2 linked regions of the Lepisosteus oculatus genome follow. The protein of the gene in region 1 interacts with the protein of each later gene in a biochemical or structural test. Links are inferred from orthologs where the notes say so. Each region holds a gene or a part of one and is shown in the gene's direction. Other genes may lie near its edges. The genes, in order: arih2; creatine kinase, testis isozyme.

Region 1 (15,466 bases):
GTACACAGAGGTGACTCGTTACCTGGACTTCAAGGTGGTGGAGGGCAGCTTTGTGTACAAAGCCGGCCGGGTGCATAAAGTCCCCTCCACTGAGGCCGAGGCCCTGGCATCAGGTAACACTTCTGTCTGTACCCCTGCTCCTCTCACTGTCTGTACCCCTGCTCCTCTCACTGTCTGTCTGTACCCCTGCTCCTCTCACTGTCTGTACCCCTGCTCCTCTCACTGTCTGTACCCCTGCTCCTTTCACTGTCTGTACCCCTGCTCCTCTCACTGTCTGTGCCTCTGCTCCTCTCACTGTCTGCCTCTGTCTCTGTGTGTCTGTACTGTGTGCGAGAGGGTACTGCCTCTGTATCTGTGTGTCTGTACTGTGTGCGAGAGGGTACTGCCTCTGTCTCTGTGTCTCTGTACTGTGTGCGAGAGGGTACTGCCTCTGTCTCTGTGTCTCTGTACTGTGTGCGAGAGGGTACTGCCTCTGTCTCTGTGTCTCTGTACTGTGTGCGAGAGGGTACTGCCTCTGTCTCTGTGTCTCTGTACTGTGTGCGAGAGGGTACTGCCTCTGTCTCTGTGTCTCTGTACTGTGTGCGAGAGGGTACTGCCTCTGTCTCTGTGTCTCTGTACTGTGTGCGAGAGGGTACTGCCTCTGTCTCTGTGTCTCTGTACTGTGTGCGAGAGGGTACTGCCTCTGTCTCTGTGTCTCTGTACTGTGTGCGAGAGGGTACTGCCTCTGTCTCTGTGTCTCTGTACTGTGTGTGAGAGGGTACTGCCTCTGTCTCTGTGTGTCTGTACTGTGTGTGAGAGGGTACTGCCTCTGTCTCTGTGTGTCTGTACTGTGTGTGTGAGAGGGTACTGCCTCTGTCTCTGTGTGTCCGTACTGTGTGTGAGAGGGTACTGCCTCTGTCTCTGTGTGTCTGTACAGACCTGATGGGGATGTTTGACAAGCGCCGTTTCCGGAAGCTGCTCCTGTTCATCCTGAACTTCGACGAGGGCGACCCGCGGACCCACCAGGACCTGGACCCCCACCAGACCTCCATGCGTGACGTCTTCCGCAAGTTCGACCTGGGGCCCGATGTGATCGAGTTCACCGGGCACGCGCTGGCGCTGCACCGCAACGACAAGTCAGTACCGCCGCCTGCAGGGGGCGCTCCCCTGCGTTCACTCTGGTTGCTTCAGGGCAGGTGCAGAGCTACAGCACAGACAGCATGCGTTATTTCTAAACCGAGCACTGAGCCCTTCCCCGAGAGACCACTGTTATTCATGCGCCCTTGGACTAACACAGTGATCATCCATGGCCTCCACAGGGCTGAAAAATGGGACGGGAGACCTCTCAGGATAAAACAGGAGGCAGTTGTAAGTGGCGTTAGTGGTTAGTGGTGCAGTAGGAGGCGCCTTTCCTCTGGACGAGAATGGTGAGTGCAGACATTGTGCTGTAGCAGGAGTTGTCCTCCGGGTGAGACGTTAAGCTGAGGTCTTGAACACATGGTCCGAAGAGCCGATGGCAAGGCTCCTAGCAGAAGCAGGGGTGTTAACTCCAGCGCCCCGGCTGAACTCCGCTCTGTTTTCGTCTGGAACTGTCTGGCCTCCCTAAAGTCCTCTCTTGATTCTCCCCCGCTGTCTCCTCCCCAGGCCTGTGTGCTGCGGGGCTGCTGTGTGCTGCTCTTCAGTGGCGGGTGAAGTGGGTCTCCCCCCCGTGTGTCAAGCGCTTTGCTTTTCTTTGGGGTGAAGGATGCTGTATGAGTGCAACTAACTGGAACAGGCTCAGGGGCTTGGGGAGCGAGCACCTGATCTCACCCCAGGGCTCTGGTTTCCCAAGGAGCTCGACCTCTTCAGCCACAGCCAGGGAGGGAGTGGGACTTGAACGGAGATCTTTCCTGCGTGGATCCCTCTCCCTGCCTCGGTTTGTCTCACTGCCCCTGTGTCTCGCAGCTACCTGGACCAGCCCTGCATCGACACCATCCAGCGGATCAAGCTATACTGCGAATCTCTGGCTCGCTACAACAAGAGCCCCTACCTGTACCCCCTGTACGGGCTGGGGGAGCTTCCCCAGGGCTTTGCCAGGTAAGACCCCAGGGCCGAGGGACAGCAGAGAGGTTGCAGATGAGAGTAGCACCATCTAGCCCAGTTCAGGTCCACTTAATCACCCCAGACTCTCACACAGCATGTCTTGGGAGGGTCCTCTCAGCGAGTAGGTCTAGTATCTCAACCTTGCAGGGCATAAAAACATACATGCATGCAGCACAAAATACAAAGGGGACACTGACGCTTCTTAGATCAGCAACAGTCTGCCAGACCTCCTGCAGTAACTGCTCAGAACACTGTCTCTTTCTTCCCTCTCTCTCCCTCTCTCCCTGTCCCTCTTTCTCTCCCTCTCTCTTTCCCTCCCTCTCCGTGTTCCTCTCCCTCCCTCTCCATCCCCCGTCCCTCTCTCTTCCTATCCTTCCCTCTCTCTCTGCCCCATCCCTCTCTCCCCTCCTCTCCCCCTGCCCCTGTCCCTCTCTCTCCCTCTCCCCAGGCTCAGTGCGGTCTATGGAGGGACCTACATGCTGAACCGCCCGGTGGATGAGATCGTGCTGGAGAACGGAAGAGTCGTGGGTGTCCGCTCAGATGGAGAGGTGGGAGAGACACTGGGGGACGGAAAGTCTGGGAGAGAGATCCTGGGGATGAACTGAGCTACAAAAAGTGGAAACTACAGGGAAGAGCATTTCAAACTGAGAACTTTGCTTTACACAAGGGGTGGTGGGGGTGTGGAACAAGCTGGGCAGCCATGTTGTTGAAGCTGAAGCCCTGGTTTCTTTCCAGTGACAGCTGGATGAGATCCTGGGATCAAATAGCTATCCAAAGTGCCCAGATGGACTGAATTGTCCATGACCCGTCATATGTTCTCATGAATGACAGAAGCAAAAAGGATAAAAAGATGAAAGAATGGAATGGAGGCAAAAAGAGAAAGGGAATGAGGCAGGCAGGCAGATGGAAAAAGGCAGAGAGAGGGAGGGGGGTCTGCAGAGGAGACGTCAACTAGGCAGTTCATTTTAGCCTCTAGGACCTGAGCTGGGAGTCGTGCTCTAGGTGAGACAGTCTATCCTTCTTTGCCCTTTATTTTTCATTAAATACCCCCGCCCCCCCCCCACTGCCCCGCAGATGGCCCGCTGTAAGCAGCTGATTTGCGACCCCTCCTACGTGCCGAACCGGGTCAGGAAAGTGGGCCGGGTCATCCGGGTCATTTGCATCCTGAACCATCCGATCAAGCACACGCAGGACGCTAACTCTTGCCAGATCATCATCCCACAGACGCAGCTCAACAGGAAGTCGGGTATGACATCGCAGGGAATCCCGAACGCAATGACGACATCACAGGTTATGTGACCCCCAGGCCAGCAGGCTGTGTAGGTCCACAATAAGTCACCAGTTTCTACAGAGAGAAATAGAAAACAAAATCTACAGAGAGGTAACAATTCCCTTATGAGCAATTAAACAGGTGATGTGTTTAATTAATTCAGAGGTCTTTTAGGACCACAATGTAAGCACTCTTTGGTTCCTAAAGACCAGAGTTCACTTAACAGATTGGTAGACTGATTCATCAGTTATTCACAGTTGCCAATCGTATTCAATCGCGTACCTTGAAGACCAGTGGTCTAGAGCCTTGGACCCCACCTCTCTCTCCTCCTGAAAGTGCTCTGTTTCGTTTAATCATACAACACGCTCTCAGTCCACCTCACCCTGCAGAGCCCAGTGCGCCTTCTGGCCCGATGAGCTGGGTTTTGTCTGAAAGCCCCACAGTAATAACGCCCCACGCCCTCCCCCCCTCCCCGTGCCCCCTGTCTTTCCCGGCGCCCACGCCTCTCGCCCCCCGCCTCTCGCCCGCGCAGACGTCTACGTGTGCATGGTGTCCTACGCCCACAACGTGGCGGCGGAGGGGAAGTACATCGCCATGGTGAGCACCACAGTGGAAACCAGCAACCCCGAGAAAGAGGTGCAGCCCGGCCTGGACCTGCTGGAGCCCATCATGCAGAAGTGAGTGACCACAGCCTGGACACCCCAGGCAGACCTGGCTGCCCAGAGAGGACAGGCTCAGTGACCACAGCCTGGCCAGAGAAACTGGACACAGGCAGACCTGGCTGTCCAGAGAGGACAGGCTCAGTGACCACAGTCTGGACACAGACACTGACACTAGACACAGGCAGACCTGGCTGCCCAGAGAGGACAGGCTCAGTGACCACAGTCTGGACACAGACACTGACACTAGACACAGGCAGACCTGGCTGCCCAGAGAGGACAGGCTCAGTGACCACAGTCTGGACACAGACACTGGACACAGGCAGACCTGGCTGTCAAGAGAGGACAGGCTCAGTGACCACAGCTTGGTTATAGAAACTGGACACAGACAGACCTGGCTGTCCAGAGAGCCCGCATACTGACACAGACAGACTTTCACCAAGAGGTTGCACTGCAGTGGAAGAGGCCCAGACTATGAAAATAAGTCAATCTTTATTTCCTGCTCTTAAGTACTGACGTGTCTTCATGCCATGCGATTGGTCAACAGGTTCGTCTCCGTTAGCAACCTGCTTGTCCCCACCGACGATGGGAGCAAGAGCCAGGTAATAGGTGGCTTGGTAACCAGGGGAGGGGCTTGGCAGCGAGGGGTGTGGTAAACCTGGGAAACCTGCAATGAGAGGAAGGAAGCTGTAACTATCAGAGTGATCAGATAACTCAGGGAGGACGTTTGCAATAAGGGGAGGGGATATGTAAATATGGGAGTGGCAGTTTAGGAGGGGTTCTGTGAAAAGGGGGAGGGGTTCAGTAACTAGTGTGAGGATATATAGGAGAGTGGGAGTGGCCATGCAGCTGGGGGAGGGGTTCAGTAACTAGTGTGAGGATATATAGGAGAGTGGGAGTGGCCATGCAGCTGGGGGAGGGGTTCAGTAACTAGTGTGAGGATATATAGGAGAGTGGGAGTGGCCATGCAGCTGGGGGAGGGGTTCAGTAACTAGTGTGAGGATATATAGGAGAGTGGGAGTGGCCATGCAGCTGGGGGAGGGGTTCAGTAATCAGGTGGGGAGCTGCGTCAGCATGCATAGGCTGCAAAGGAACAAGTAATAGGTTTATTCCATGCTGAAAAAAAAGAAGAAAGAGAACACAACGTTTCGGCCGTGGAGCCTTCTTCAGGTGTCCTTCTTCAAGAGAGGACAGGCTCAGCGACCAAAGTCTGGACACAGACACTGGACACAGGCAGACCTGGCTGCCCAGGGAGGACAGGCTCAGTGACCACAGTCTGGACACAGACACTGACACTGGACAAAGGCAGACCTGGCTGTCCAGAGAGGACAGGCTCAGTGACCACAGTCTGGACAGAAACACTGGACACAGGCAGACTACACCTGAAGAAGGCTCCATGGCCGAAACGTTGTGTTCTCTTTCTTCTTTTTTTTCAGCATGGAATAAACCTCTTACTTGTTCAGTAATTAGTGTGAGGATATATAGGAGAGTGATAATGGCCGTCCAGCTGGGGGAGGGGTTCAGTAACTAGTGTGAGGATATATAGGAATGTGTAATCTTTTTTGCAATTACATGTAATTTGGAAATAGTGGAAAACAGTGGGTCTTTGTCTCTCTCCCCGTCCAGATATTTATTTCTCACTCCTATGATGCCACAACGCACTTTGAGACGGAGTGTGAGGACATCAAGGACATGTACCGCCGCATGACAGGGTCAGAGTTCAACTTTGGCAACCTGCGCAGAGAGCACTGCGATGTCTGTGAGGAGGACTGAGGGGCTCGCGCACGCAGAGACAGACGGAGCGGAACACCGGACGGCCGATGACACACAGCACCGTGGCACGCCGACACACTGACAATGACCTACTGGAACGATGGATAAATGAGCAGCCAGACTCAGTTTACTTAATTGAGAAAAAAAAATTGACAGACAAACAAGGACAGAACCCCCATTTCAAACACTGCTCTTTCTCCCCAGCTAATCTCCCAGCATTCCCATCTTGTAAACTCATTGGTCATTGTGTGGCTCCACCCCAATGGCAGCTGACCAATGGGAATAGCACAGGGTCATGGGCTAGCCCCTCCCTTCTCCCCCTTCAGTCCCTCCCTTCCACAGTGTGTGTTAAACAGAGCCAGTCCACCCCAATAAATGTTTTTGGAGACATGCTGTCTGACTCCCTGGTTTGTTTTGGCTTTAATGAAACTTCATTACAACAGTAGCAGTACCATTAGACAGGGTGGCATTAGTCTGGGGACCATTCCCCACGGGGCAGGGCAGAATAAAAACGTAAACTGGTGATCCTCAATTTGTAAAAAAAGATTTCCCCCATTAATACTATGCATTGACTTCTGTCTTACCAACAGGAGTTTGTGATGGTTTCACCCTGATTTCACTGAGCCTCAGCCTACGTGGCGTTTGTGGAAGGAGAGGAAGGGGGACAGAGTGAGGGACTCGGGGGGTGAAAGAGATGTACTGGGGATTAGCGGAGGCTCAGAGGTGCAAAGGTCACTTATCCGAGTGAAGGACACGGCCTGAGCAGAGAGGGACCCCTCTGCGGGAACAGACTGGCCTGTGAGGATTACAGGCAGGGATTCCTTCGTCAGGCCTTTAAACAGATTACTGTCCCTGCGCTAATAACTAGGCCAGGGACAGTCAATCCCATTAACCCCACGCCTCACAAGAAGCGCCATGCGGACACAGAGTCGCCCTCTCACTCCCCTCTCCCAGGGGTGTCCTGCCTCAGCGGGCCAGCAGAGGAGCCGGACAGTCACCTCTCCGGGCCGGGGCCTGCCCTCCTGAGCCTGAGCTCCAGCCCCAGCACCCTCGTGTTGACACGATGACTTTGAGGGCCTTCTCTTCGAGGACGGCTCAGGCGCTGACGGATGACCGAGAGGTCGAAATCCATGTGGCGCAGAGGAGCGCCGCCTGGAGCGGTCCACACAGGAGGTAAACACCGGGCAACAAGCAGAGCAACGCAAGGGAGCGCAAAAGCAGAACTTTCAAAGGTGAACTGTGGGATTTAAAAACTCCACTGGTGACACGGGGTGTGGGCAGGCAGGGTAGCACAACTTCGCAACAGCTCCAGGGTTCTGAGTGCAGGGTGTGGAGCTTGCATGGATTCGTCCGAGAACAGGGGACACTTCTTTACACAAAGGGTGGTGGGAGTCTGGCACACGCCATTCTGCCGTTGAGGCCGATACCCTGGCGTCTTTAAAGAAACAGCTCGAGGAGATTGCTCACAGGAGTTATCTCCCAGCAGCCAGATGAACTACGTGGGCTGGGTGGCTCCTCTTGCCTGACACCTTTCTGATGGCTGGAGCCCCTGATACTGACACTGACCCCCGACTTTAACTCCCAGCCTATACAGTGCCCCTTAACGCTGCCGTCAATCCAAAAGCCAGCTCCCATTGTGGGCAAGCTGTAGCTTCTCACCCACACCTAAACTTAATGTGGCCTTAAACCTGTCTTCAGCTCCAGCAGCTGAAAAACTAAAAAAAAAAAGTTTATTTTTCTTTCTGGGCTTTAAAGAAGTAACCCGCAGTAGGCAAGAGCTGTTCATCAGGCGCCGTCAACAACACACAAACAGACCCCGCCCACACCGCGATAATCCCCTCCCCCTTTATCCCAGAAACCCCTCCCCCCTTTCCCTGCAGCCGGATGTGACGCAGCGACGAGTTCCCCTTGTGTTTCCTGTGTTCCCTTTTGCTGCAGGTCGGGTAGCGGAACCGAGTCGAGCGCAAGTCGCCGGATCTGGGCCGAAAGTCCGCAGAACGAAACGGGTTGACAGCGGCCCCAGTGGTGAGTGGAGTAGTGGCGGCGGACCGGAGCGGGAGACCCTTGTGGCTAAGGGGGGGCAGCTGGGGAGGGCGAGGATAATCCCCGTGCGGCCTTGTTTACATGTCGATCCCCGAGCTCGGGTCAGACGCGGCGGCGGCCTCGTTGTCCGCTGCGGGAACGGAGCGAAGGTGCAGGTCAGCGGTGGGGGGACAGGGAGCAGGGACCGTACCTTAGAGGGGCCGGGGACTGGTTCTGGGTGGACGTGAGGAAGGGGAGAGGTGGGCTTGTGGGGTGAGGGTCCTCTCTTTGTTTTTACTTTCTCGTGTTTGAGAGCGCAGCGAGTTCGAAAGCGCGATGTAAACAAAGCCTGGCTCCGGCCCCTGCCTCCTGTTGCTGCCTCCCCGCCCGCTGAGCCCTGGCGCGCCGGACCTGGGGAGTCGTGCGTGTTGGCCGGTCGGCGGCTCTATTAATAGCCGCGGCCGGAATGTGAGGCGCGCTCAGGACACGGTGTTCCCCGCTGACCGCTGGGTCCCAGCCCGGACGCGGGGATGCTGGCGGCCTGGATACCCACCCCAGCCGGCGCCCGCGTTGCTGAACTCACACGTCCGGCCCAGAGCGAGAGACGAGCGATGTCTCGTCCGTAATACGTGCCGGGGAGCGCCGGCACGGCCGCGTTAAGGAGACGGCGAGAGAGTCGGGTACCGCTGGAGGTTGGAGGGGGTCTTGTGTTCATTGTCTAGTGGCACAGAACGGACAGTCTAGACCCACCCGTTCGAGACAAGCGTCTGGTCACAGTTTCCTGTCAGGAAGCTTGTGGCACACTTCAGTAGGGTGCTCTTTTCCTTACTGAGTTGACCAGAACACTGGGGGTTGCTGTCATCCTGGTCCCTTTCTTTGGGTTTGGCGTGGTTGGGTTAAAAGGGAAATCGCTACGAGAGGCACAGGCAGACAGCCGAGTCAGCAATGATGATGACAGCGGTGCGTTGTAACCTACTTGGGGCCACCACAGTTCCAGTAACACGTCCCACTTCCTCCTTCCGAGGAGTCCGGGGTCAGACGATCTGGTTGGCCTCTGTCTCGTGACTCATCCGCGCAGTCCTGGCCAGGCGGCTCTGTGGCTCTGTGGTGGGCTGACGTCCTGTCAGAGGGCGCGGGCGGATACCCAAGCACGGTCTCACGTGGCGGGGAAAGAGAGAGCGATACAGCCTGATGGGGACCCTCACGCGGCCGAGTTGCTCACGGCGATTCTCCCTCGTTGGCTCCGAGGTCTCGCCGGCTTTCACGTGTGAAATGTGGCGGCTGTGAGGGGGGGTCGCGGAGGGGGATTGGCCTGGGCTGATCTGCGTGTCCAATGGGGGGGGGGTCCATGACAGCTGCAGTGCGGTTTTATATCCGCCCTGATTGGAGAATCCCGCGCCGCTCCGGGCCGCTTTCGGTTCGTGCCCAGCTGTGGGTCCGGGTGAAGGGGTGGGTGGTGGGCTGGAGGCCTGGTCGGAGTGGACGCAGGCGTCGTTGTCCCGGGCGCTGGGCAGTGTCCTGGTGTAAGGACAGGGCTGCGCCGGTCAGCGCCAGGCTGTGGACACGAGAGCACTCCGAGTCCCCGATGTCCTTAAAAAAACGTGTCCTCACTTGGCTCATCTGGTCAAATAAAGGACAACGAGTACATTTCGTGTTTTTGTGAGACATCAGCATCCCGGTAACACTTGTATTGATGTTTGAAGTATTTGAAGTTGGCTGTTATCGTCACTGAGAACTGGATGAATGTGTTCTTCTCTCTCTCCTTCTCCACTATCTCTCTCTCTCTCTTCCTTTGTCCTTCTGTCTCTCCCCCCCCCCTTGCTTCCCTCCTTCTATCCCAGGTCTCTAATTCCTTGGCAAACCAGATCAGGAAAAGAGAACCCAATGAGTGACGGGGGGTGGGACTTCTTCTGCTTCTTCCGCTGCTGCTGCTGTTGAGTCGCCGAGGCTGCTGGGAATTGTAGTCCCTGTGCCCCAGGGGTGTGGTTTGTAGTTTTGTCTTGTGGGCCGTGTGTGTGTGAGCGAGTGATGTCCGTGGACATGAACAGCCAGGCCTCCGACAGCAACGAGGAAGACTTCGGTGCCAACTCCGAGGAGGAGGAGGAGGAGGAGGAGGAAGGGGGCGAGGAGGAGGAGGAGACGGGCGACATCGCAGATTATTACGAAGGAGTGGCCAGCGACGTGGAGCAGCAGGGCGCCGATTCGTTCGATCCAGAAGAATACCAGTTCACTTGTCTGACCTACAGGGAGAGCCAGCGAGTGCTAGCTGAGGAGGTCAACACTGTGGCTATAGCACTGAAGGTTAGAGAGCTGAAGGGAGGGTGAGGGAGGGAAGGGTGGGGTGTAGCGACGGCAGCTGTTAATCCAAGCAGAGGCTGGGGGCCTTGCTGAACTATATTGACAGTCTGGAGTCTCTGCAGGTCTGGGCCAGGGTGAAGGGCAGTGGGGGTGGCGAGGAAGACAGCAGCTGTTTGAGTCTGGTTCACGCAGTGTCGCAGGAATCATGCGAATGGGACAGACTTGTCTGGGTCGGTCTGTGTGTTTTGGCCCCGACCCCCGACTCAACTATTTTAAATTCCGGAAACTCAAAAAGCATCGAAGGGCATTCAACACACTCCCTCTGAGACAGAAGTGGACTTCTGTTGTCCAACTCTCCGCCTGTAAGCTTACAGTAGCACAGGGCCTGTTACTGGCTGGCTCAGTGGCTGATCTGCGTGTGTATTTAAGAGAGGAAAGGTTGGACCTGAGTCTTCGGAGAAGTGGCGTAAGTAAAGCTGGAGTTACAGCTGAATAGTAAAAAGTTTCTCCCTCTTCATCCTTCCAACCTTCTAGGTTCTGCCTGCTGTTGCAAAACTGGTGCTTGTTCATTTCCACTGGCAGGTTTCCGAAATACTGGACAGGTAAGACCTCAGCTGGACTGTGTCATCTCCCACCGACAGGCCTCGCACAGAGAGCGCCGGTCTCGTTGACACTCCTACACTGACGGCCACATCTTGCTGATAAGCCCACATAGCTGCTCACCTTGTCAGACGCCTGCAGAATATTCATCGATAAGTCCTCCTCTCACCGTTTTGCCTGACCTGTCCGCTGGTCTTGGGTTTCAGGTTCAAGTCCAATTCGTCCCAGCTGCTGTGTGAGGCTCGAGTTCAGCCCGGAGCCTGTAAATCTGTGAGTATGCCTCTCCTGCGTTAACGAGCACATGAACGTGTTTATAGGCGCTTCCCCGGTTAATTACCCTCTTTGCGCAAACGTGGTGAAATGCTGAGCCCTGTAATAAGGTGCAAATACAAATGGGACCTTGGGAGACAGATTCCCAAGGAAATGTGTCGGCATGCAGAAGGCACAGCGTTGCCTCAGCGTGGCCACCGTTCACGATGACTTGACAGACTGCTCAGTCTCTGCTGTCACTGTCCCTTGCGGTGTTTGTATGCACGTCTCATTTCATGACTCCAAGGTGTGCGGTTTCCTTAGAGGCGGTTCTTTGGACGGGGATAAGCTGGGTGCCTGTTCTTACGTCACTTTCTCCCCCTGCCTCCCCAGCTCCCTCCCCAGTCCCCGCAGTGCGGCGTGTGTCTGCAGCTCGTCCGCCAGGACTCCCTGCTCGCCCTGCCCTGTCAGCACGCCTTCTGCAAGGCATGCTGGGAGCAGCACTGCACCGTGCTCGTGAAGGATGGCGTGGGCGTGGGTGAGTGCTCGGTGGGGGGGGGCGGGAGAGAAGACGGATCAGCAGAGAGGGCAGCAGCCCTTCACCTTACCTCACCTTTTTGCTCATTCTGTTGGAAACCGTGTGTTTGAATTCAGGACCGAGAGCCAAAGCAAATTAACCTCGAGTTTCGGCAAGTCAGTAGGCCAGTTCAAGGCATTGGTGTTCCTACTGAATGGAGGAACACCAATTCCTCCATTCGGCAGGAATGGAAATCAGCAGGCACCGGTGTTCTCGGGGACCAAGTTTGGTCATCTCTGTCGTTCACTCCTGGTCCAGGAGGGCCCCTGTGTCTGCTGTTTCTCATTCAAGGACTCTGAGCAGCTTTGATTTGGATCTCTTGTTCACTCAATGTGTCTGGGTTACCGGTGCTCCCTGTGCTGTGCTCATTGGGGATTTTCGGATACCTGTATCCTACTCCCGGTGGACTGCAGCCTTCCAGGATCGGGGGGGTAGATATGTCTGCTCTGGGAGGTGCTGGCTTTGAGGGAGTTGAGCTGGTCCGTCTGTCGGTCAGGAATGTCACGTGCGGCCCCGGACTCGGTCAGCGTCTGTCTGTCTGTCTGCCCCCAGGTATCTCGTGTATGGCCCAGGACTGTGCCCTGCGGATGCCCGAGGACTTCGTGTTCCCTCTGCTGCCGAGCGAGGAGCTGAAGGACAAATACAGACGCTACCTCTTCAGAGACTACGTCGAGGTCCGTCCCTCGCGATCTGCCCGTCTCCCGTCTAACCTGGAGCAGACTGCCCCTCCTGTCTGTGTCTCTGTGACTAGTGCCTCACTCTTCCTCTGTGCTCTTTCCTCGCGTCGTTTTTCTCCAGGCCTGTCCTCTCGCCTCGTTCCCCCTCTCTGATCCTCCTCCCCAGACCCTTTGTCTGGGTCTCTGTCTTTCTCTCGGGAGTCCTCCTTCCCTCCCCTGTGCACGTGGTTCTGAGATGGCCCTGTCTGCACCGTGGCACTGTGCGTGCCTTTGAGATTTCTGGTACAGGCTGTGTAATGACACGCGGCTCGTACCCGAGTTCGGCAGCGTCCCAGGGCACCGAGAAGAACCCAAATGCGGGCGGGCGAGCTAAGCGATCGGAAACGCAGCCCGAAACGCGATCGGAAACGGGCGGGCAAGTTCTTCAACACTGAAGCAGAGCACAAAGGGGAGCTTGGGGGTGGCGTCAAAGGGAAGGTCGTCATGCAGAGGCAGATGTCCGGTACCTGGCTCCCCAGGTCACAGGTGTGTGTGTGGGGGGGGGTAACTGGTGGAATGGATCCTCTCTCAAAGCGGGTAGTCACGGCCGCCGGTTGCCGTGGCAGGAGCGGGTGCAACGCAGCGTGTGCGCACGCGTGTCCCACCGGATCCTGACTGACGCCCCTCCTCTCTGCCTCTCAGAGTCATTTCCAGCTGCAGCTGTGTCCGGGGGCGGACTGCCCCATCGTGATCCAGGTCCAGGAGCCGCTGGCCCGCCGGGTCCAGTGCAGCCGCTGCAGCGAGGTCTTCTGGTAATGCCGAGCACCACGTGCGCACGCGTACACACACACACCCACACACGCACACCCACACACGCACACACACACACGCACACACACACACACACCCACAGCGCTCCCCCCCCCTCCTCGGCACCTTTCTCTCGCAGCGGGGGCTCTTCAGAACCAACAGAGAAGCAGGAGCCCGAGAGCACTGGTGGGAGCTATGTGCAACTGCTTTTTCGAACCGACGGCAGGAGGCACTTCTTTACACAAAGGGTGGTGGTGGGGGGGAACCAGCTGCCTAGCCGTGTTGGTGAAGCCGATTCGCTGGCTTTTTTCAAGAAACCGCTGGAGTGGGTCCTGGCGTCTGTTAACTACTACCAATCAAACCACGTGGGCCAACTGGCCTCCTCTCGTTTGTTAGCCTCGTTACACCCTTATCTTACCTCCCCCTCACTCTCTCTCCGGCTCCTCCTGTCCTTCGTCCTGTAACCCCTCTTTTCTTTTCCTCCGCTCTGCCTGTCCGGCTCGTTTTTCCTCCCCGCTCCCCTGCGCCTCAGCTTCAAGTGCCGCCAGATGTACCACGCCCCCACAGACTGCGCCACGATACGGAAGTGGCTGACAAAATGCGCCGACGACTCGGAGACGGCGAACTACATCAGTGCGCACACTAAAGACGTGAGTCGCCGAGAGAGAGAGGGGGGCAGTGTGGGACAGTGGGTAGAGCTGAGAGAGAGGGAGGCAGTGTGGGACAGTGGGTAGAGCTGAGAGAGAGGGAGGCAGTGTGGGACAGTGGGTAGAGCTGAGAGAGAGAGGGAGGCAGTGTGGGACAGTGGGTAGAGCTGAGAGAGAGAGGGAGGCAGTGTGGGACAGTGGGTAGAGCTGAGAGAGAGGGAGGCAGTGTGGGACAGTGGGTAGAGCTGAGAGAGAGAGGGAGGCAGTGTGGGACAGTGGGTAGAGCTGAGAGAGAGGGAGGCAGTGTGGGACAGTGGGTAGAGCTGAGAGAGAGAGGGAGGCAGTGTGGGACAGTGGGTAGAGCTGAGAGAGAGAGGGAGGCAGTGTGGGACAGTGGGTAGAGCCGAGAGAGAGAGGGAGGCAGTGTGGGACAGTGGGTAGAGCCGAGAGAGAGAGTGAGGCAGTGTGGGACAGTGGGCAGAGCCGAGAGAGGGAGGGAGGCAGTGTGGGACAGTGAGGGACTGGGACAGCTGGGCATTGTGGTGACTTGTCCATTTGTTTTTCAGTGTCCTAAGTGCAATATCTGCATTGAGAAAAATGGAGGCTGCAACCATATGGTGAGTAATTCTATTAAATCGATCAAAGTCAGTGGTGTCAAGCTATTGAATGTAGTTTAGAAATTTTTACTGATAATATTCTATTTTTTATAATATAATGAAGAATTAATGTGGTCTTTTAGTGTAAAATATTATATAATAATTATATGTAAAACTCGTTAGATGATAACACAGTTTTCAAGCATCTTGATCTCACGAAACGTTGATATATTGTTAAGTGCTTGTATTGATTGTGTCACTGCATGAAGTAACGGCTGTTGTATTGATCTGTTTTTTTCAGCAATGCTCCAAGTGCAAGCATGGTGAGTTGCTCATAGTCAAGCTCTTTACTTTGTCGCTGTTGTGTTCTTGTCGGCGCTGTGTCCCGTGTCGCTGTTGGCTGATAAAGCACAGAGCCGCCGTGCCTCGAAGTGTGTTAAATATGCCTTGTGGTGCATTAAACAGACCTCAGAGTCATCGTTCTCCTCTCCTGCTGTCTGCCTTCGTCCCTTCTTCCTCTTTCACCAAATCCCTCTCTCCTGTAACACTACGCCTCCCTCACACTCCTCTCCATCTTTCTCTCCTCCCTTGTCATCCCTCCTTCCCTCTCCCGCATCCTCTCCCTCCCTCCTGTCTCTTTTCCATTCTCTCCCTCTCCCTCACTTTTCCGACTCCTTTCCCGGCTCCCCGTCCCGTTCAGATTTCTGCTGGATGTGCCTGGGGGACTGGAAGACCCACGGCAGCGAGTATTATGAGTGCAGCCGCTACAAGGAGAACCCAGACATCGTGAACCAGAGCCAGCAGGCCCAGGCCCGCGAAGCCCTCAAGAAATACCTCTTCTACTTCGAGAGGGTGAGTTTGGGGCCAGCATGGGTGGGGCCAGTGGGGGTGGGCGGTGCTGACATGGGTGGGGCCAGTGGGGGTGGGCGGGGCCCACGGGGTGGGTGGGGTCAGTCGCTGCTCTCCCTGTGATTGGCTGCAGAGGCGGCCTCCAGTTGGCTCTTCTCATTGGCAGCCAGGGCATGTTGAGGTTGTCCGTCAACTTACCGGTGGCTGTTTCGGGTTCGGTGCATTAGGGCCCACATAGACCGCAGGGTGAGCGCCCCCTGCTGGCCCCACTGACACCTCTTCCAGCGGCAACCTGTTTTTTCCAGGAGTCTCCCATCCAGGTACTGACCAGGCTCGCACCTGCTGGGCTTCAGTGGGCTGATAGAGCCAGTTGTGAGTTTGCAGGGTGATATGGCTCAA
Region 2 (15,829 bases), on another chromosome or scaffold:
GGGAATGTATTTTTAGATACGGACGCTGGAAAATGTTCTCATTACAGCAGGGGGAATAAAGAAATTACCCTTGGAAAAAGATCAATTAAGGTGCCAGGGCTACAAAAAATGAAAGAACTTAACTTTGTCCTTGGGGATGAGAGTGAAGGTATCTGAAATGACATCCCCTGTTCTGCAGGATGGAGCTGGGCTCTCTGCTGCAGGCTGGGTCGGATGATGATGAGAACTGGGAGGGGTTTGGACTGTACCAGGGGAATGACCTATTAATCGGGCAGGGGAGAGAACAGACCCAGATACCGCGACGCGAATTCTGCAATCTGTTGCACAAAGGGGATTGTCTCTGCCGCAAGGAAAGAGGCCTGTTCACCACAGGGGGCGCCTGGGCAAAATGAAGTCTGCTGTCAAGGATGGAAACGAGCCCATTCATGTGTTAATCATGCTCCACGGGGTAAAATCACGTTCCTGTCTGAGCGATTGTCTGGCTGGGATTTTTGAATGTATTTTTAGACGCGCTCTGTGAATAATGAGCGATTCAGCAATCACGGCAGTCTTGAGTGTTTCCATCAAAAGTGGAAGAGGCCGCACAGGAAACTCTCCACAGACACTTGAAACGCAATTGAGGGGCTTCTTCACCCACTGCCCCCCCACTGCTACTGACCAAACATTTCACAACTGACAATTTTTGAAGTCAAAACCTGTCAGAGCAAACCTGTGTACTCTCATCTCATTAGTGAAGTACTACTGCTACAGCACAATCACATTCAAACCTCTCCATTTTCACAGTCGATGGCCTTAAATTACTCAAGATACAAGATAATAACCAGCCCTGCTGACCGACAAATGTCCTTGAGATGGTGTTTAACACAACCCTTTTAAAGACAATTGCAAAATGGCTTCCCAGTCTTCCTTGCAGACTGTAAAAAAGAAAAAAACATCCAAAAATCTAGCATCTCTTCCTGATGTACATGTTGCTAGCATTCAATTAAAAGATGCCAGTTTACCGTTTAATTTGGAACAACTCTGTCCCAAAGAGGAAAACGAACGACTTTCAGAGTAAAACCCTAATAAATATTGATAGAGCTCTCTGAAGAGGGCCTGGGATTTTCTGTGCCTTCTCCTGAGCGGCTAAAAGGCTTTATTCAGTTTCCCACTGCTTCACAAATCAGCTGCCCATGAAAGCACCATCTGTGAGCTCCACATGAGCCATCTCCAGCGAGGTCACATGACTGGCAGCACCCTGGGGGAGGGTAGGCCTCCGCTGGGAGCCGCTGGGCCTCCGGTCTGCACACTCTTCCTCCTGCGTCAGCTCCCTCGGCCTACCCCCCAGGCCCAGCGTGTCCTCGGGCGCCCGCACCAAGAACAGACCGAGAAACCGTTACTGCTAGGAACGCTGAACCACGTTCACTGAGTGGATCCTCGGTGTCGCTCAAAGCCTCCAAATCTCTCGATCGCCAGAGTCGCGTCCCTCTTGCAGCCCAGCAGAACAAATCAACAGCCCGCCTCTGCAACGGATTACCCACCAGCAGGGCGGCAGCGACTGCACACCCTCTCCTGACTGACTGGAGCTCCTGACGTCAGGCTCATCTCTACCGACATGGCGGAGGGGGGGGGTGGGGGGTGGTGTAGAGCCACATTAATGACGAAAAATATAGGGAGCATGCCGTTGCACACAGTCTGGCTCCTCCTCACTTGCACCTCCTGGAGGGCTGACAAGAGGAACACACCGGGATAGAAGTGCAAGAACACACCGCTAGCAGCTGAGGTCGGAGGGGGGACCCTGAAGGACCGAGCGACAGCCGAGCCCAGGACTCCTGCCTGCCACGTGCTGCTCTGGGAGCCCTGACACACCAGCACCTACAGGAGCCTCTGGCTGCACGCAGTGGTAGTTGAATTCTTTCCAAAATAATCCAGTCCAGACACTGCACTCCAAAAAGGGAAGAAGAAAGAACACGGAGCGCTGCTCATGTCTGCTCAGAGTTCCAGCGAAATCTACAAAATCTAGCAGGAACGAGAAGTGCTATAAACAGTGGCGTTAAGCTGGAAGGGATCTGTGGAGCTGTACCTTCTGTGTAGAAGCCCTAGGAGAGCCCTTAGCCTCTCGGTAGGAACTTAGCCACGGTATCTGGTGGCAGGGGCTGTGTTAGGTATGATGGCAATTATTTCATACGTTGTATTTTTTACTTCAAAAATTGTTAACATTGAAAAAAAGTGTCTCAGTTACCCACAGGCCTTGTCAGGATGGACACGTCTAACGAAGTATAAAGCTCAGACAGTGTTAGCTGGGCCCCCCCGAGAACTGCAGGTCTAAGACTACCCTGTAGTTGAGAAACGGTGCTGTGCAGGTAGATATCTTCCTGATAGGACACTGCGGGACCAAGGGCCGGCTCTTCGAGCAGCCACACTCTCGTGCCACTGCAGAGCTCTGTGGGCCGGGGGGCACAAGAGACACCTGAAACCGCAAGCGGAGCTGCTCTCTGGCAGGGTGCATCAATTATGAAAGAGAACTCTTTGGGAACATGCACCCGGATACGACAGGCAGGCTGTCTTTTTCACATGGCGGGGAAAATGCAGAAAATCCTGACTCTGAGCTGGAGTATGGAGCACACCTCCCTCACTCCTCCCTCTGCTCCTACTACACTCAGTGGAACCATCCACGGTCTCCTCTGTGTATTGTTATTCACCTTGTTGTTTCACCTTGTGTATTCTTCGTATTTTTTGCCGTTGTCATTCTGTAAAGTGCTTTGAGAAGCCATCTTTAAATGGTGCTATATAAAAAAAGTTTATTATTACTACTAGTCAAGAAAGAAGCAGATTATCAGCCCTTTTGGCGTTTTTCATCTATTGCATGCAGTCTGTAGAAGGCTACATTATTAGTTTTTATGGTACTGAACAAGAAGGGACTGTACATTTTAAAAACAACTTTTACCTCTCATCCAAATTTTTCCTGTGCGCGTATACTCAGAAATCAGCCCTGCTCAGAAGAAAAAAACAGAAGTGCCCTTGAAACCTATTGTGAACAGCTGTCGATATGAATAGAAATCATTACACTCGGGATTATTGCGTTCCAAGATCCAGCTTGCCTAATCTTCGCCTAATTAAGTCACCTGCTACGCAGTGCTGTTAAATATCTCTTCGGCTAACTGATAAAAATCAGAACTTGGAGGACGTCCAAGCTTCATTACGTTCTGCAAATATTTCAGACCCACACAGATTGGGGGGAGGGGGGGGGGCTGGCTGAGAAGGGCAGGGCACAGACAAGGGCATCTCACACAGCACCAGGGAGCAGTTCTCCTGACTCTGACAAGTTCTCAACATTATCGGCGTATCACACATACAACTGCCATTATCCCCGTGCAAAGAGAAAATGTCACCTGATAAAGATATTGTCGAGGTTTGGGCACTCCTGGTGTGCGTTAGCCCCACACAAGGCTGCGTTACCAAGGGCTTTGCTACAGTATCTAGATTTTTTTTAATCCAGGCCTGGGACAGCCAGCTCTTACTCTCTCAAACTCAAGACCTTGTCAGCTGCTGCCGACCTTCAGCTGAAATCCCTTAGTTCTGCTCTGAGCCCCCCCCAGACTGCATGGAACAAGGTCTGCATGCTCTCCCCTTCTCCTGAGCTCCGGCCAATCACAGGGGAGGAGCTAAAAGTGCCGAGTCAAACCTTCAGTGCACCAACATGAAGGATGTGCACGCTGACAGCCAGTTTAACGTGATGCTGCAAGGGCGGTGGATTTTTATGAAAGGGTGTTTGCTCTTGTGCATAAACTGCATCTATGTTTGTTATCGAGGTGCTCGGTTTCCGAGAGGTAACGGGCTGGGTATTTCACTCCCCTCACTGCAGCAGTTTTGCTGAAAAGCAAGCAGTGTGGCAGCCCATCTGTGCATCAGATTTATTCACCCGGAGCCGCTGCAAACTGTGATTTTGACAATTCAGCTCCTTGCCGCACCTGGGCTTTGTTTGTCCCTGAAGAAAAGTTACATAAGCCCTGACATCACCAGCGCTCAAATGCTGTTGAAGAGCTCTGCCACGCCACAGTGATCTTCAGTTTTTATGTCCCGGCATGAAACTACCCTGAGAAATAGCATTAAATAAATCTGTAATAATGAGTTAGTAAACATATGTTAGCTTCCTTCTTGAGTAGAGTTTTTAGAAAAACAGTGTACAGTCTATGTGCAGCTTTTCAGTACAGCTTCTAAGACCCTCCCAAGGCAAACTAAACTGGATCACTTGAGCGCCACATGGATTTCTGTCCCTGACAGCTACATAATGATCTTCAGCCGCTTCTTCATAAAGTGCTGCCGCAACACTTTCACTCCAAGCATCCACACGGTATCAGCCTTCTAAAAAAAGGGCAAATATAAACCGTTTTCAAGCAAAGCAGAGTAATATTCTTCACGTGCATAACAAGGTTATAACTGCAGGCTAATTTCCAGCATTAATAAAACCAGCCCAGAGAGCTGCAAAGAATAAGGATCAGGAAAGAAACGATGGCCTTTTTTTCCTGAAGTTTTATTAATAGTGAGCTAGGAAACTAGCGCACAGGGCTGTTTCATTAATAACAGTATGGCAAGGACGGACTCCTTCTTCAGGGAGAGATGGAGAGCGGCTAGCGGGCCTCCGTGCTGCCTGCAAGGCAGGGAGACACTGCGGCTCTGCGGCCCGGCCAGGCAGCTGTGGTCATCCATTATCCTCCTACACAGCTGTCACTGCAGCTGGAGGTCGCTCCCGGGCTCCAAGCGGGAAATATTTCACAAGAGGCTGTGAAACCCACCGAGAACCTGCAGTGTGCGCCAGCCAGCTCATCCTTACTGCTGTGCCACCCAACGTGGGAAAGGTGCGTCCTCTGAGCGGAGCGAACACTACGCCACGACCTCCGGGACCCGAGGGTCCACTCTCCATGCGCTTACTGTCCAGGCCTCTCGATTCAATCAGGCGAGCTCGAAACTTGCGGAACACTTCTAACGGATTGAATCTACCCCAGCCTGACTTGTGGAGTCCACAGAGCTGGGGAGAGCGTGCTTGAGGTTAAAGGTCTTGGAGAGAGAATTAGTTTAAATCGCTGTACGTACATGACATGGTATGTCCATGAAGCAGTGCTGTTTACACACTAACTACACTGTAATTACAAGGCAACGCCCTGGTCAAGTGAATGACACATTAACACAGAGGTTCTGGTAATGTCTATTGGGGTTCGTTCTTAATCACAGGCTAATTGATTTCAATGCTAGGCTTTAGGTGGGTTTTTAAATTTTCATTTATAGAGGCAAGTAACAAGACGGGTTCAAGTTCTGCTCTAAAATCTCCTATCACTTGTCATTTTTTATTTGTCCTTCATTCCAAATTACCCCAGCTCTCTGCAACAGTGCCTCAGAATTCACAATGTCATTCTGCCTTTGCTACCCGAGTATGAGGTCACTCCTTTGCGTCTAAACTGCTGCTACTATTTTGCTTCAAGTCAGCCTCAGGGCTCGCTCTTAAGCTTGTTCCCAAAGTCTTTTCCGACATGTTTACTCAAGGTATTACTCAAGGACACATGGCTAAATCCAGATCAAACTCCAGTTCACAAGATAAGCCTCTAACCTTTGATATGGGTTTCTTGGAAATAAAAATCCCCTTCGATTTTTTTTTTTTCGAGGAGGAGTCGGCAGAGTTAGTCACTTCTGGCGCAGCCGAGAGCCTCCAACGACTCAAACTTTCACCCCACGCAGACGTTAGGGATCCTAATCTTGAGGCCTCACTTCCCCGATCACTGACTAACAGTTATACAAAACTCAAAAGTGTCAGTTTCACATCATGGCTCAAGAAGGGAGATCAACGCTCCCGTCCCACTCCTTCTCAGTCCATTTCGGTTTTTAACGAGCTCCACCCTCCTGCGATGAAGACCCCCCACGGCAAACAGCTGATAGCAGGAGAGCCTGATTTCTTAATCGCGACCCCAGCGCCACGCGCCCCCCCAATCACCACATCGCCGGAAACCTGCTGCTGGCCGAAAGGAGGAAAGGAAAAGGTTAAAACCTCCCAGGCTGGGGAGTTTGGGGGGGGGGAGGGTGATTTCCCGCAGAGGAAGGTGGGAAGTTCGCCTGCGCCGCACCTGACTCGCAGACGACGGAGCCCGGCTTCAGCTCCAGCATCATGGTGATGGTGGCGATGTCGGTGGCGTACAGGATCTGCGTGCGGTGCGGGAGGTTGAGGGTCCACAGCTCCGGGGTGGGGTGCAGGACGTACACCCAGCCGCCCTTGCTGCAGGTCACCTTGGACCCGTAGTGCTTCCCGATCAGGTCCGCGGAGTGCCGCAGCGCGCCGTAGCGGGTCTGCGTCTGGCCGCCGCGCTGCACCTTCACCGGGAACATGGAGTCGTGGCCCAGGAAGACGATGGCCGTGTCCCCCTCCTGGATGACATCGCCGTACTCCACGAAACTCATGAGGGGGAAGAGGTCCAGGCGGTCAGCTCGCGTCCAGCGTACAATCCCGTTTCTCCTTCTGCAGTGAACAGAGAGTGAACTTACGACCTTGGAATAAAACGATCTGCCACATTCGAACTATGCAGCATACCGCACATTCAGACTGAGACTTCAGAGGTGCGAGCCGGTGTCTTCCCACCTTGAGCAGATGGCTCAAGAGAACATGAACTCCAACTCAAGGGCTTACAGCTTCTTAAAAAAAAAACAACAGCTCACAACTGGCAGCCCACTGGAGCTCAGCAGGTGTGAGCCTGGCCAGTACCTGGATGGGAGACTCCTGGGAAAACTAAGGTTGCTGCTGGAAGAGGTGTTAGTGGGGACAGCAGGGGGCGCTCACCCTGTGTACTGTGTAGGTCCTGATGCCCCAGTATAGTGACGGGGACACTACACTGTAAAAAGGTGCCATCCTTCGGATGAGACAAAACTGAGGTCCTGACTCTCTGTGGTCATTAAAAATCCCAGGGTATTTCTAGAAAAGAGTAGGGGTGTAACCCCGGCGTCGGGGCAAAATTTTCTCCTGGCCTTTATTGGTCTTGACCTCCTAATAATCCCCATCTCTGAACTGGCTTCATCACTCCGTTCTCTCCCCAGAGAGCTGATGTGTGGTGAGCGTACTGGCCCATCGTCCAGGTGGGGGCGGAGGGGAGTCCCTGCTGCCTTTGAGTAAGCGTCCAGAAAAGAGCGCTATATAAGTGTTAAGAATTAATATTATAACAGAAAAAGAAACACCTTCCAGCTGCCTCGTCTGGTGAAGAGAGGAGTGTTCTTTACTCATCTTGGTTTGTGAGTGCACCTCCTAGGAGCATCCATGGATGCTCAACTTCGCCTTACAACAAGAAATCAGATCAAAGGTGGCTTAGTGACAACGCTGAACATCTCGGCTTACGCCACTTTGAAGGAAAAAAAAGAGAAAAATCACTTCTGATTGTGATAATAAAGTATTTACCCACCCACACATATACTCCGGTAATACAGGAACAAGTTTTTCCAGTGCATAGAGGAAAGATGCTTTCCGAGACTTATGGGGCCAAAAGGCGGAAGCTTTTCTGGGAAGAATTTTCTGCTTCAGAGAGCAATCTTAATGAAGGCAGCAAGCCGACATAACTTGATGCTATTTTAGAGAACACAATTTTCAGCTCAGGGCTTATCTGACGCACGGTTGCACATATCATAAATTTTAAAAACTACCAGACTCGCTACACGTATATTTACTGGAGCATCTTCCTCATGGGCTCCAGGTGCGCATCCTCCTGTGTAGAAGACCTCCTAGATGTTTAATGGCGAAACCGCAGAGCAGGGGGACTCCGAGAGCGGCCGACCCACAGCCTGGGGGTCCGAGGCTCACGTCTGAGGTGTGGTGGCGATCGTGAGGAGTTTGTGGAACAGGCGAATCAGTGCCAGGACTCCCTCGGGGCTGGGCGCGGCTGGCCACGACCCGCACAGCGGAGAAATCCCCGGTGCCAGTACTACCGGTCTCTTGCGGCAGCAGAAGTCAGCATTCTGAGGGGATTCAGGCCCTCTTAGAGACCGCGTTACACTGAATGTCCCCCGTTACACTGTTTCTTGACCGTGTGGGTTTTTACCCAGGTGCTCCGGCTTCCTCCTGCGGCTCAAAGACATGGCGCCCCGGGTGGGCGGGCGTCTCTTAACGGCTGCCTGTTCGCTCGCCTGCGCGCGCCCTGCGAGGGACTGCTCCCGTTGGAGAGAGAGTCTTTATCATCCTCCCCAGGGGGGCAACTTGTTTTTACAGTGGTAGACCACATCAAGAAAACCCACAAACCCACAACGATGCTCATGGAGGTACACTAAAGAATCGTTTGTTAAGCCAGGCTACGGCCACAGGTATACATGAGAACCTTTTTTTAACTTGGGAAAACCTGTATCTGCGTTCTGAGGGGAGTAACTGGAATTCATTCAAGAAAGGGCACGAAAGGTCCTTCAGGGTGGAACATGCTTTATGCAAGACTCGTAACTGGGAGTTAAAAACTGGGGGACGCGGGACAGGGCCGAAAGATCAGCACCAACGACTTTCTGAAACCGTCCGACAAACACTTCCCGGTTTGCTCTCAGCCCTGTTATTCAGATTCCCAAACCAGCGAATCAACAGTAAAAGATTCAATAAAAGACTTGGAAAACATGATCGGCAACGAACTGTAAAACGTATGACTCAAGATGCACTCTAAGAATACAGCGGTCGCTGACTCTGCGTGGACTGATGTTCAACGACGACATTTAACATCAGCACAGTAACAATAATAAATGATGGCACGTTACTGTCAGGCCCCTAGGGACTCTCCCCTCTGCTGTAAAAAACAATGTCACAACAGCCCGAGCTAATACAGAGATGAACTGCTGACAAATCATCACCAGTATGATAAACCACTACTGAAAAATGCCATTTGTTTTGGCAGATGCCCGCCATGATCAAGCAGGTTAATACGTTTTAATTTTGCTATCCAGTTAAATAAAGGTATAAAGACCGTGATTAATGCCTTATAGCCAACACAGCGGGATGGGTTTAGCCATGTTTAAGCTGTCCTGTTCAGACAGCCACTTGAAGCAGCCCCCCTGTTCACTGGCACTGTGGGAGCCCTGTGGGGGTGCAGTTCAGGCCCTAGCTTTGTAACCCTAAAGCTGGGCATGAGTACACACAGGTGAGCCCCTGCTCTTATACTCTTGGGCAAAGGCCTTCACTCAGAATGCTCCAGGGACATGCGCAGCCCATCACTGTAAAATAAGAGGAAGGTCTCAGATGACACAGCTGGTTAAATAAAAATTAAATAAAATCAATTACCCTCGGAGCTTGTTTCCCCACAGCTATACTGAGCAGACCCCAGCCTGTGCTCCACACTGCCCAGCTCTCAACGAACCAAGCTAACTCACCAAAAGAGTGGGATTTAAACAAAAACACTGAGGGTATGCGAGACCAGACCACCAGGGAGACGAGGTTGAAACCTTACTCAGGACGTTGCCAGAGCCACAACGTGCCGGGCATGAAACGATTTTTCTGCATTCGTTCAGTTGTCACCAGGGGATGTTGCAACACCCTCACGTACCCAGTAACACGTTACAGCTACGTTACTTGTGGCATCGCCTTAGGCCACTGATCGCCGTGACCAAGCAACGAGGCTCCCCTGCCACACAGTCAGGATTTTTTTTAGTCTTGGAAGTCTTTTATAAAACGATTACGTGGGGTGGGGTGGGTGGAAGCACTTCGCTGTAAGTACAATTACCTGTGAAGTCAAGTCGCCTTCAATCATGGATTGGACCATTTAAGATGCTGTGTCCATGGATACAGCGCCCGCGGGCGCACGAGCCTGGTACCGCACAGCTCGCGCCCGGGGGTCTCTTGTTGATTTTTATATTTTCAAAACGGCACCTGGAGGTTCTAACCGACCCCCGTTTTTCAAACGACACCAACGGCTTCCCTTAGTCTCCCCAACCCGACGGCAGGCGGTGAAGCTGCACTTTTCCCGCAAGATGAAAGACCTGTGAGTTCACGGAGACTTTCTCATACCGATGTTTCAACGTCGTCGTTCAAATACTAACTCCTACTAATCTCACCTCCAAATATATAAAACAGCCCTTAATCGAAAAAAAAGACCTTTTAAGTCATTTTGTTTTCGGCAAGGTGACTGCGGTAACTACTTTCGACGGGCTAAATTTAATATGTGTTCAGAAATTGTTTTCAAGTAATACACAGAGATGTCGCGAAACGTAAATTACTTCACCTCACATAATCGGTTTTGAACTAGTTTTCAAACATTGTGTGAAAATGCTAAAAAGGTTTTTTTAAGCTGTTCTCGTGCAAAATAATTAAAATTTAACGGCTATGATAGACGTGCGTTTTCCGTTTCGTCAATTTCCCTGTATTTGGTGGTGTCGTCACTCCGTGCAGCCTTGGTCCTAACTGACCGTCGGGCCCTTCATCGATGGAGCAAACTGCTGCTTTTAACGTTTGTTCAGACTTTTCGTCTCCATGTTTCCTGCACTCAGGGCCTGGTCTGAATTCCCACGTACCGTCTGTCAACCCATGGAGAACACAAACCCGGGAGCGGCCTCTCCCCATCCTGCCTGTTGAGAATATGCCCCGTTACCCCTGAATGACCAGCCAGCTCTGGACACGATGGACAGACACGAGTGGGAATGCCCAAATGTGTATGGCACAGTCCCCCCAGGGTGACCTCTTCCGTGGGGCTCGACTCGGTTGACATTTCGCTTGTCGACGGCGGTGAATGAGCGGAGCTCCGATACCGGTACACCTCATAGGTCCGGTTCGGCTGTAGGAGCCGAGAACTGGGCCGGGAGAAAGCGCGCTCCCAAAACGCGTGTTATTCCGCGGTTTCGCGTTGTCCACGATGCCAAGGTTTGGTGGTGGAGGGAGACGGTTCTGTAACGGTACCGGTACCGAGTTCGGCGTCTCGCGGGCAGCTCCCCGGACCTCCGGCCACGAGCCGTCTCGGCACCTGGAGCCTGGGACAATTTCCCAAGCAAAACTTTCCGCCTAGCGAGCGGGGAAAGTTCCAGAAAACATCGGCTGCCCGTGTTCCTGTGCTTGGTTTAGGATTAAAATTGTTTTTTTTTAAAGAAATGTTACTTCTCTGACACCGAACCCGACGGGACGGTTCCGAGATGCCTTCTGATGTCGGATTAGCTGCATAACCCGGTGTTGGGAATACGCAGATAAGAAAGAGTAAAACAATAATTACACGAATACTCGGGCTTTTAAATATCAAACTCTACTCACAATGAACCCTAAGTATTGGGAATGTACGCCGGAAACCCTGTGAACAAAATACAACAGAGCTTGCATAGAGAACACTAGCACATTCACACGTAAATATAGGATTCCAGTTAAACTGTCCCTCCCGGCCAGTAGTTTGTATTTTACACCAAATAAGCGATATTTGAATTCAGAGTTTTAAAGGCTATTTTAAATATAATTGTTTGCTTGCTTCAGCCACCACAGCACTCACCTGGGAGAAGACACAACGTGCGCGATCTCCGTCCCCAGTTGATGACGTATCTGTGTCTTAAAAAGACAGTACGTTTATTTAAAGGTCAAAGCCTTTCTTACAGCTTAAAGCTTTCTGAAAGGTCTGACTGAAAATCATTTGGTTATTGATGTATATAGCAAAATATTTGGCGCAGTATTTGTGGTTCCTCAAATGCATAAAATATACATGTTATAAACATGGATGTAATCTATTATAATGCTTAGAAAAGCTTGCATGTGGTCGATGGGCTTTAATAAAAGGATTGCCTCAATCTCCGGTCAACAAGATAAATCATTTTGCAGCAAATCATCTAGTTGTTGTATATGGTAGCCAAACGAAGAAACCTTCGTTGTGCGCCTTGGGCCAGTTGACATCCTCATGCAATTGTATTTATGCGGTCAGTTCAGTTTATGTACAATTTTGAATTTCACTATTTGTTCACTATTTGGCTAGAATAGCACTATTTTGTGATGAACATTATCGACATCAAGAGAGATTATATAGGCTGGGCATTAAATATTCGATATTAAGGTAAAAAAGATGTTCAATAAACCTGAACCACCCAAATTCTTATAAATAATACATTTTATATGCAAGATGGTGTAAGATAATTCGTTACATGTATTGCTAGGAACACATGTAGCACAAACGACAACAGTTGGTATTTGTTTTATTGTTTAACATTCTAAAGCAAGTACAATACAGCGAGGTTTTACGTATATTTATCTAACATACCGAGTATTTTGAAAGATACGCGTCACTGGATCTGAAAGCTACTAACTAGCCAAGCGCGGACAGTGCTGGCTTTTAGCCCTTCTCCAATAGAATGAATGGACTCCAAATAGCAACCAATCGGAGGCGAGCGTGGATTGTATATAAAAAAGATCTCGGGTGCGTTATTCTGGACACCAGAGTGAGGGTTGGTGTGCTCATTCCAGGGGAGAATAAAAAGGAGTCTATCTTTGTTTCCAAGTTCGGCATCATCGGGTAAGGCGGACATTGCTATTTCTAAACCGTTTAATTTAACGCGCTTTAAATACCGTTTGGATTATTTATGTAAAACGTCATTTTTTTTCCCCAAGTGCGACATTACAAGCTCGAGAAATGGATACAAATCGTTCGCAGTTTATACTTGTATGTGAGGGTGAACAAAGACTTGGTTTCAATGCCGTGGAGAAAGTGTCGGCGGTGCACTTGAGTGACAGACGCCGAGAACCGTTGCTGACCCAGTTACAGTCCGAGCTCGTAGGAGCTGCACTGGAATCGGTGATATTTTAAAATCTGTGCTGTGAACCTAAATCGTCATCCTGCACTATGCACTTCTGGAGATCACTGCTTGAATGCAACAAGGATTCTTGCCTTAATTAAAAACGCTAGCAAGCGGATAAGACCATAGACCGGAATAGACTGTAGCACTGCCGAGTAAGATTTTTAAAACCTTACCTGCGAAGTCCTTGAAAACGCCGTTCTGTATGACAAGGTATCTACGATTAAAGAGAACAACGATTTAGTTTCTCGGATTACTTTTAGAAATCAAACAATTCCGTGCCTGATACAGCTGATTAATCGATTCGATTAATTCCCCCCCTAATTTATGTACAATTCAACTTGAAAAGCGCAGTCAGCAAGTATTTCCAATGTGGAAAGAAGACCTACAAATACTGCGCCAGACATTTAACCCTTCTGTCGCACAGACACGGGACACTGCGGTTTTCAAACGAGTAGTTTGATTCACAGTAGTTTGTGTGGCTGCTGAATTTAATTAAAAAAAGCTTACTTTAAACTCTAGTCACAAGAATCATTTATCATTTAATGCATTTTAAATGTTTAACAAATTATGCTCGTTGATGGTTTTAAAGGGATACCACCAGTACGGTTACTTTTTGTGCGGAATATTGACTCAATATTGTAAACCAACCTGAACAAAAGTTTAAATCGTTCCACAGAACTTGCGAAATCGTTTTTTTCCCCCGCTGTAAACAATCTTTCCCCCCATCCTGCGCCCAGGTGGTAACCATGCCTTTCGGTAACACGCACAACATGATGAAGATGAAGTACTCCACTGATGATGAGTTCCCAGACCTGAGCAAACACAATAACCACATGGCTAAGGTGCTGACTCCGGAGGTGTACGGGCGCCTGCGGGATAAGCAGACTCCTAGCGGATTTACACTGGATGATGTCATTCAGACTGGGGTTGATAACCCAGGTAAAGATCGGAGCCGCTTTCCTCCTTAAAAGCCATCTGTTCTTCTTCCTTAAAGTGCTGCTTCCAAATGGCACAAAGGCGTTTACCTGTCGCCGCCTTGTAAAGTCGGATACATTGTAAGCTTTATCCAGTTATCGCAGTGACCTTGCCAGAGGTTACCTTGATGGTTGCACAGAGGCTACCCTTGTAGAGACCTTAGCAGGGGGAATGGCTGTTGTCCTGTTACATCACTGCACTGTTCTCAGAGCAAACATTGTCAAACGCCTAATTTCAGGAGATTAAGAATATCAAGATGTATGCCGAGAACCTTGCCCTTGACATTGGGATATCGATAAAACATTTTATTATATCTTTAGATGAGGCTAAACTAACGATTTTACTAACCTCTTGCACTAACGTGTTAGTGAATAGAGGGCTTGATGTCAAGGTGTGTTGCTGTTATGTTCTAAAAGACCCTAATCAATGGAGCACTTTAAGGTGGAGCAGGTGGCTTTCCTTTACCATGTAGAATTTTGTTGTTGTTCAGCAATAGTAAAATGGCCACACTGACCATCAAGAGGCTGTCTGCTGAGATGGAGTATCCTGACCTGAGCAAACACAACAACCACATGGCCAAGGTCTTGACTCTGGATATGTACAAGAAGCTGCGAGAGCGCTCTACCCCTGCTGGATTCACGATAGATGGTGTCATTCAGACTGGGGTTGATAATCCTGGTAAAAATGAATTCCAGACTTCGCTTTTAATATTGATAAGCTTCATCTGTAGCGTCAGTGTATTTAATACTTCAGTTTGTTAACCTTAATTGAGCTGTAACTTGTGTGCGAGTCAGAAGCACTTCAGCATTTATGCAAAGTCCCTTTGTTGAGCAATTCATCCCAAAAGGAACTTTTCATTTCGCAGGCCACCCTTTCATTATGACGGTGGGCTGTGTGGCAGGTGATGAGGAGTCTTATGAGGTGTTCAAGGACCTGCTGGACCCCGTGATCAAAGACAGACATGGGGGCTATAAGCCAACTGATAAACACAAGACTGACCTGAATCCAGACCATCTGCAGGTGACTTTACTAAAGAATAAATCTTTGCGCACTGGAGGTGTCGGCTGGGATGTTCCTCTTGTCTCTTGCTAGTGGGTGTTAACTTGTAGCAGTTGTATAGGGCTCCTGGACTATCTAGTAAAACGCAGAAAAATCTCTGGACCTCTTGCAGGGTGGGGATGACCTGGATCCCAACTATGTTCTGAGCTCCCGTGTCCGAACGGGCAGGAGCGTTCGTGGGTTCTGCCTGCCGCCTCACTGCAGCCGTGGAGAAAGACGGGCCATCGAGAAACTCGCAATTGAAGGTAAATCTCCATCTTAAAGACTTGAATATCAGTTGTCAAGTTTAAACTGTGCAAGTAGCACCCTCTGGCACATGCAAGTGGCATTACAATTTCAGACTTACTTGGCTCTTTCATATGTGTTTGGCAGTGGTTAAGCATCCTAAAACAAATATTCATTTGCTCTTGTTTTAAGGTTTAAGTGCCCTTGATGGTGATCTTAAAGGAAAATACTATGCTTTGAAGAACATGACTGAGGAAGAGCAGCAGCAGCTGATTGATGACCACTTCCTCTTTGACAAGCCAGTCTCCCCTCTGCTGCTGGCTTCAGGAATGGCTCGTGACTGGCCTGATGCCAGGGGCATCTGGTGAGCATTGAGGTGCACTATGAACACAGTGTGAAACGTATGCATTTGGGGTAAAAAAGTGGTCAAGACTCTCCAATAGCTAAACAGTTTTCACTTATTTACATTGTGGTTTTGCATTTTGCTACAATGTCAAACTAGCCAAGGCTAAAAATTAAATGTTAGACCATTTAATGATTTCAAAGCTTGTGAATTTGAAAAGGACAAATGTGGTATTTTACTTATACCCATAATCTTTTTCAGAATGTTAAGCCATGCAAATCTTTTGCAGTTGGATGGATTTGGACAGTGCTGTGGAACCTGAATGCTTACCAGTAATCATTGTAAACTCTTTGGGAGGAGTTGCTTGATTTATTCAATTACCAAAAAGATATCTGGTAGTTCTTGGATTCCTGTAATGTCTATTTGGGGTCAGTGAACAAGGAACACATTTCCCATGAGTTCTTGAATGAGCTCTTCATGGAGTTTCCAAATCCT

Evidence for each region.
Region 2: of the proteins of arih2 (region 1) and creatine kinase, testis isozyme, one has a biochemical effect on the other in vitro, tested with the Homo sapiens proteins (2 studies listed by BioGRID). The link is inferred for Lepisosteus oculatus from reciprocal best matches to the Homo sapiens genes ARIH2 and CKB.

What each region holds. Positions count from the first base shown.
Region 1 is NC_090699.1:65,598,208-65,613,673, reverse strand, and holds the start of arih2 (E3 ubiquitin-protein ligase ARIH2), read left to right. Parts: upstream 1-7,658; 5' UTR 7,659-7,788; intron 7,789-7,797; exon of another isoform or gene 7,798-7,961; intron 7,962-9,626; 5' UTR 9,627-9,813; coding exon 9,814-10,086; intron 10,087-10,617; coding exon 10,618-10,685; intron 10,686-10,889; coding exon 10,890-10,953; intron 10,954-11,325; coding exon 11,326-11,470; intron 11,471-12,061; coding exon 12,062-12,183; intron 12,184-12,867; coding exon 12,868-12,977; intron 12,978-13,507; coding exon 13,508-13,625; intron 13,626-14,188; coding exon 14,189-14,239; intron 14,240-14,519; coding exon 14,520-14,541; intron 14,542-14,918; coding exon 14,919-15,070; intron 15,071-15,466. Other genes in the region: rab GDP dissociation inhibitor beta, read left to right, coding at 1-113, 917-1,115, 1,924-2,055, 2,510-2,609, 3,136-3,307, 3,864-4,008, 4,538-4,592, 5,617-5,763.
Region 2 is NC_090703.1:6,849,617-6,865,445, reverse strand, and holds the start of creatine kinase, testis isozyme, read left to right. Parts: upstream 1-9,847; 5' UTR 9,848-9,945; coding exon 9,946-9,956; intron 9,957-11,441; exon of another isoform or gene 11,442-11,497; intron 11,498-12,344; exon of another isoform or gene 12,345-12,449; intron 12,450-13,469; exon of another isoform or gene 13,470-13,478; coding exon of another isoform or gene 13,479-13,671; intron 13,672-14,197; coding exon 14,198-14,385; intron 14,386-14,572; coding exon 14,573-14,727; intron 14,728-14,878; coding exon 14,879-15,011; intron 15,012-15,183; coding exon 15,184-15,355; intron 15,356-15,829. Other genes in the region: tRNA (adenine(58)-N(1))-methyltransferase catalytic subunit TRMT61A, read right to left, coding at 6,096-6,484, 7,416-7,423. UniProt on the Homo sapiens protein: Reversibly catalyzes the transfer of phosphate between ATP and various phosphogens (e.g. creatine phosphate).